Kluyveromyces lactis: one gene and its partner. The protein of the gene in region 1 interacts with the protein of each later gene in a pairwise test. Links are inferred from orthologs where the notes say so. Each region holds a gene or a part of one and is shown on either strand. Other genes may lie near its edges.

Region 1 (4,528 bases):
GTGATTTATTACCACTGCCACCCCAGGCAGAGACACCTCCCTGGTTACCACCCCAGGTAGAAGTACCTCCATAGCTTGATTTATTGCCACCGCCCCAGGCAGAAGCTGCTCCTGATTCTCCGCTTGCTGCCCAAGAAGAGGCGCCTCCATAACTAGATTTATTACCCCAAGTGGACGCACCACCCCAAGTTGATGTAGCACCTTGCCCACCCCAGGTGGAAGTGTTTCCAGCAGCTCCACCCCAGGCAGAAGCACCACCAGGGCCTTGTCCGCCCCATGTCGAAGCACCACCCCAGGATGAAGTTCCTCCGTTCTGGCCAACCGCAGGAGTTTTACCGCCATCAAATGCATTCCAACCAGGAGTCATTCCACCAGGAAGTTGTTGCGGAGTGTTCGTTGCCACCGCACCACCGGCAGCCATGTGTCTTGGTGCACTGACATAGCTTGGGCCCAATCTGGTATGTGGAGTTCTACCACGTCTACTAACAAGTTCATCGTATGTTATACCTTCACCACCTTCATGACTGAAGTAAGTAAGTTTTCTTTTGTCTATTGTAATATGCTTATTTTTGGAGTGCAATTCAATAGTAGCCTTATCTCCATTGACGTCTTTGACAATACCCAACTGCCCCTTGTATCCCGCAGAACGTATCCTAACAGTTTTGTTCAAAGCGACGTCACGGCCAACTAACCGCGTCTGCTGAGTAGTTTGTGGTGGTCCCATCTTAGACGCAATATTTGGATTTATTTTAGATAAATCCAATGCTGACGACATCAAGTTTTCTTTTGAGGCGACAGCCTCGACATTCATTGGATTAACAACGAAAACACCGGCATTTTCCGTTATTGTTTTCGATCTAATGAAAATATGTTGGTTTTGAACGTAGAGTACTTGTCCCTCTCTACGGGAACCGATCTTTTCTCTTACTACATCGCCAATTTTTATTTCTCTACCATTACCATCGACAGCAGCTACTTTCGCTCTTGCTACATTGATCTTGGCAAGAATTGAGCCTTTAGTAACAGTAGCCACTTTACCGGAGTCGTCAATAATCTTGAAAATATCATGTCCAGCCTGGATCACACATGCCACGTTTTTGGCACTTAACTCAACAATGTCATGTAGAGCGTACTCGCTTGATGTCGGAGTAGAATCCATAGATTTACTCAAGTTATTCGCAGAGATTGTCAAATTTTCTCTAGTTTGGTCAGAAACAAATGTGACTTGACCGTTCTGCACCAAAAGAACCAAACCAGCGTTACCTTCATGTTCACCAGCTATTACTGTGACATGGTCACCAAGTTCGAAAATTTTTCTTAGAGATGCAATTGGGAACTCTAATGATTTATCTGAAAAGCCCGATAGTTTAACGCTGATGACGTCTTTAGAACTTCTAGTCACCACACCTCTAGATCCACGTTGTTCCCCGGTCAACACTTCAACACGGTCACCTGGTTGAAACATAGCTTTAGAAGCTTGAGCTTTTTTCATAGTTTGAGCAATAGCTGCTAGATCGACATCACCTTCTTTACTGCCGAACCTTGATAATTCTTCCACCGTAGGTTGGATATTCTTTGTATCAAGATACTGAATCTTAAAAGATTTGAAAAGATAACCGTCAACATAATCTTCCTTCCTGTAAGTGAAGTGCCTGTCATCTCTTTTGAATAAGTTGGCTTGGTCTAACCTTAATGCCATAGTAGGGTTAAATAATTGAGGAGGAGGCCTACTAGCAAACGTTGCTCTCTTTGCCTTTCTCTGATTTGTATCTGGGTCGATTTCGTCATTTTTACCGTAGTCTAATCTGGGTACAATCTTTAATAGAGCTTCTAAGTTGTTCTGACTAATTTGATCAATGACTGCCAAATCATTCTTATAAATACCCCTTTTAATTCTAACATAAGAACCAACATCAAGTCTCACTTCATCTGACTTGGTAGGCTTTAATAGTAAAGGTAGTTCTTGCACGGGAATCAAAAGCTTTTGATTAGAATAGACATCTGGAACACCGTTGACAAATTTTTCGATAACAGATTGTTTTGGAGCTTCGATATAGATTCTTCCTGTGTAATTGTCTCTTTGGAAGATGGACAGAATCTTTAATTTTTTAGAGCCCATAGATTTATCCAAGTTAAACTTCTTATTTAGCAACTTTCTCACTAGTTCTTTCTCCTTCCCTGGTCTACAACGAACGGACCAAATAATAGCAGTATCAACACTTGGTAACATAAACCTCTGAGGTACATACCCACCTTGAGTTTGTACACGGTAATCTTTGGAAGAGTCACGACCATAACGTTTCTTGAAGTCTTCAGCGATCTTGTGCATGTCTTCATCCGCAGTTTTTTGAAGATTTTGATCTAATTCTCTATGCAGTCTGTCATCAACTCTACCACCACGATCCTCTTCGTCTTCTTCGTCACCGCGAGTAATGAAACCTTCACGAACTAGTTCTGAATCTTCTTCATCTTCTTCGTCGTCTTCGTCTTCACTGACTTCGGCTTCAATATCCAAGAATCTGTTTCTTTCACGACGTTGCTTCTTCCTATATGATTCGACATCTTCATCTTCGTCATCGTCATCGTCATTGTCATCGTCGTCATTGTCATCTTCATCATCTTCATCGTCTTTGTTTTCTTGACTGTTTTCTTGATTGTTCCCTTGATTTCCCCTAATTGGACTATCTTCAGTAGCCTCTGTCTTTGGTTTAGAATCAGTAGGAGCGTCCTTTAACTGATCGACAGATGCAGAGTTGTTTTCAGAACTCCCATCAACTTCATCGATAGTTCTTTTCTTGCCTCCAACCACATCTGTAGAATCAGACGAAGATGAAGTAGAGTTATGCTCCTTATCTTGACTCTCAACTGACCCAGAAACTGTTTCAGGTACAGAAACAGCCTCTGCTTTATCGGATTCCTCAGCAGTACCGCTCATGACGTCTTACTGACTGTTGCTTTGTATCGTGAATGCGAACTGTAATGCATACTGATCATCATTACAACTTAGCGTGGACTACCATTTTTGTATTGAAAATTGGGAAGTTTAGATTGAAATTTTTCAAGGATCACAAATAGAGGGTAACTCTCGCCTAAGTATTTCAAAAGTACTTAAGTAGCCGATGAATCAGTCTGCATCACTTCATAACGAACGGGCAGCTAGTACCTTATGTAGTCTTTAATATATAACATCAGCTCTGGCTACGTTAAGGACAATATTAACCGATGAGTCATTGCTGACCAGATAATGTAGTTATGCGGAAAAAGAATGATGTCAGTTATGACACAATTACCAGATGGAATGAGGCCAGAATGCCCACCGAGATTGAAGATGAAGTCCTATCGATATATTTAAGCTTCACCGAAGAAGGTGAATTCAAGTGGGCTGATATTTCTAGTTTTTATACGGAATTACAAATCAGTAAATCATGGTACGGATTATTAGAATTCAAGGACTTATGCTTGGATGGAATTGACGTCATAGATTTCGAAAAACTCTTGGATGTCACTTATCGACTCTTGATCTTCATGGACAACGAGAGTATAATAGATAAACAATGGGAACTACTATTAAAATATACCGGTAGATTGCAACAGTTCCCTAAGGTTGCACTAAGGAAGCACGTGATAAGTGTTAAAGATGTCCAGAAGGCTGCTGTTCAAGTGGATATGGATCAACATATTATCCTGTCAATGGTAAGTTGGGCTACGAACGGCGAGAGGGTATTTGTCACTTACCTAGACTTTGCCAAATTACTTGGTAAAATGGGTTTATTAAGATACTAGCATCATTGCAATCCACTAAATAATTCACTTCCTAAAAAACACGTCAATCTTTGGAACATTTGGAAGAATATCACTAGTAACTTAGTACAAAACTTATAAATGTAACTGGTGGCCATATCAACATAGAATTCTAGCAAAAACAAAGACCTACCCGTCTAGGCATAATATAATCCCTTTCCCCCTCTACTCGTCCGATTTAGAAATTATGCCATTTTCCATATATAGATACTGTACACGTATAAAAGGCTCACCATATGATGTATGTTTCTTCAATTCAATATTTGAAGATCGTATTGAGATTCAAGGCATTGAAACTATTCGAACATTCTAAATAATGTGCTTAGCTCTAAAGAAGTTCTTCATGTAGTTTACTTGCCATGCACCCAAAGCGACCAAAACAACGATGACAGCGATAGAAAAGTTTCTAACTCTTCTGTTGGTGGACTCGTTGGTGTCTCTTAGTCTTTCTTCTCTCCCCTTCAAGTAGTTGAATTCATCAACAATTTCGTCAGTCAATTCTTCAATCCTACGTAGTTCAACTTCCACCGGTTTCAATTTTTCACTGGCTTGAATCTTGTTCCAATCACGAGCCTCGGATCCGGATTCAATATCCAATTCAATGGAACGGCTCAAAGATCTACCGTTAACTTGCGCCACATTCTCGAAACAAACATCAAATGAGGTGGATTGTGGAGCAGTAAATACAACACGTACTTCTCCAGCAATGTCTCTATTCCTACGGTAT
Region 2 (2,419 bases), about 920 kb from region 1:
TTTTTGTTGTTTTATAAACGATATAAATATATATATACATCGCAACACCAATTCAATCGATGAACAGGATTGTTTCTCCGAGCGACTTTGTATTCAACCCGTTGTTAGTGGTCATTGTGCATGATTCAGATCTATTTCTCAATATCAATCACTGTGTAAGCATTTGCACTGCGTTTATTTCTGAGTAAAAGTAATTTTTCACTTTCTAATGACCAGATGACTCAACTTTAAGTTTAGTCATTTTTTTTTCCCTTTCCCAATAAATGTCTCGAACGAAAAAAAACGGACTCCAGGAATTAATACTAAGTGCAGACAGCGATAACATACACGTTCCTGTTGCTTGTCTTGGTGAAAACTCTGAGGATTTCATTTGATTGTAATTGCCAGGATGAATGGAGCTAGGATTTCTCAAGATATTTGGGTAAAGTTCAGATCTGTTTCTAAGAAAGTGCATAGTAAACTATAGCTATAACCTTCATGAAGTCATTCGAGATCTTTTCGATTACTATTATACACATACAACTTGCATTATTATTTTATATATTGTCTTATTAACACATTCGATGGAGGGAGAACAGAAAAAAATGCAACTGTTGTTACCGCTGCTCAATATCCATAGTAGCCTCCCGAGTTGTTGTTGTTGTTGTCTTGGGTCTTGTTTCTGCTACTGGATTTGAGAAGAGTTTTGAAACCATTGCAGAGTTGAATCACAGTTGGATAGTTGTAATTAACCAAGAAAAACCCAGTATGTGTAAGTTTAACATTCCATACGTATAGTTGGGACTGGGCATTGATTTTAAACATTAGGTAGAACCATCCAGGGTGTTCGTAATTGAAACTGAAATAATAAACGGATCTGTTGGGGTTCACCTTCGAATAGTCTTCGATGAACTTGATGACTTCTTTCTTGGTTCCCTTTTTGAACTTTTCGTTAGAAGTAATTTCGTTTAGCAACCTCACTTTATTCTGCAAATATTCAACGATGATTTGATCTAGATCATGATATTTTTGATCCTCCACTATTAGAGTCTTACCTAACGCCAATGGATTTTCCTTGTCCTTTTCCAGGATATCAACGTGTTGGAACAAATCTTTGTCCAACTTCCATGTAATGGCAAGGTGATCATCACCACGAGAAGATTGTCTGATAACGAAATCACCACGTTCTCTACTTCTGAGATAATCTTCTGCTTGAGGACCGGTGAAATTACCATAGTATGGATGGTTAATAACACGGTGAGTTCTCTTAGCTCTAGCTTCCTCTAAAGCAAGCTTCTTCTCAATTTCTTGATCTTTCATTTCTTGTTCGACGTTCCAAATGCTTGGATCCTTGCTGTAATGGATAGGAACGTATTGGCGTCTAATGTCGTGTTCTAACAATGATACTTCACAACTTATGTTATCATAGTCGATATAAATAACCTTAGCTGGGTAGGTTTTTCCAATTTCATAAACTTCTTCAGCAGGTCTTTTCAACTGAGCACCTATGTGACGTTGTGCATTGATAACACACTCGACACCAGAATTTGTGACACCATATATGTCATTATGTCTGAATCTTTCCACTCTAACTGGAATGATACATCCCTTGAAGAAGGTTTTTTCAGATTCACCTGTCAAACTCTTGAAGACTTCGTCACCGTGTAGTGGGTGGAAATCATTTCTTAGTTCTTCAAATCCTTCCAAAAGTTCCAAGACAATAGTATTCAAATTGTTCAACTTTCTTTGACCTGTATTCTTTTCAAGTTCTTCTGCGTACGCTTCGAGGTTCAAAGACTCAAGTTTGGTTCTGCGGTCTGGATCTTCCCTCAATAATTCGATAAATTCGCTCATAGTACCTTGTTCTTCCTTTTCTGCAATAGCATCAGGATCAAATTCCAAGGCGTCAGCAGCAACCTTGGTAGCCAAATGGTAATCTTCTGGGTGAATTCTAGTGCCATCTAGTTGATCATGTTCCAAATCTTCGTAACGTTGGTTCTTTTCGTTCCAGGATATATACAAAAATGCAGCAGAATTCATGAAAATGGTTTTCGTTAGAATATCATGAGTAATCAATTGTTGGCGTGCTAATAATGGCTCATTTAATCTTTGCAATGATTCAAGGAAATCAGCAGACTTACGTCTTCCAAAGCCAGCAATATAACGTAATGCTTTGGCGTAGTAATGGTTGTCTGTAGCCTTGTTTACTTCAATACCAACTAAATTCACAATATCTACGAAAGAAGTTTCCAAGGCTTGTAAAAATAGCTCCCTAGTCAATAGGGACTGATGACTGTGTATTGACAAAGATAGCAGTTCTTCATTTGTTAGATTAGCGTATTCCAACAATGGAGAATGAATATAACGACCCAAAGCTATACAATATTTCACCAATGTAGGCTTGCTTGGGAATTCTTGTGCCGCACGCTCTGATGATTGA

Evidence for each region.
Region 2: the proteins of SPT5 (region 1) and SPT6 interact in binary tests that used the Saccharomyces cerevisiae proteins (3 or more experiments, as listed by UniProt). The link is inferred for Kluyveromyces lactis from reciprocal best matches to the Saccharomyces cerevisiae genes SPT5 and SPT6.

The regions. Positions count from the first base shown.
Region 1 is NC_006038.1:68,418-72,945, forward strand, and holds the start of SPT5 (transcription elongation factor SPT5), read right to left. Parts: upstream 2,936-4,528; coding exon 1-2,935. Other genes in the region: RAD33 (Rad33p), read left to right, coding at 3,253-3,783; ERV25 (Erv25p), read right to left, coding at 4,111-4,528. UniProt on the Saccharomyces cerevisiae protein: The SPT4-SPT5 complex mediates both activation and inhibition of transcription elongation, and plays a role in pre-mRNA processing.
Region 2 is NC_006038.1:992,812-995,230, forward strand, and holds the end of SPT6 (chromatin-remodeling histone chaperone SPT6), read right to left. Parts: coding exon 607-2,419; downstream 1-606. UniProt on the Saccharomyces cerevisiae protein: Histone H3-H4 chaperone that plays a role in maintenance of chromatin structure during RNA polymerase II transcription elongation thereby repressing transcription initiation from cryptic promoters.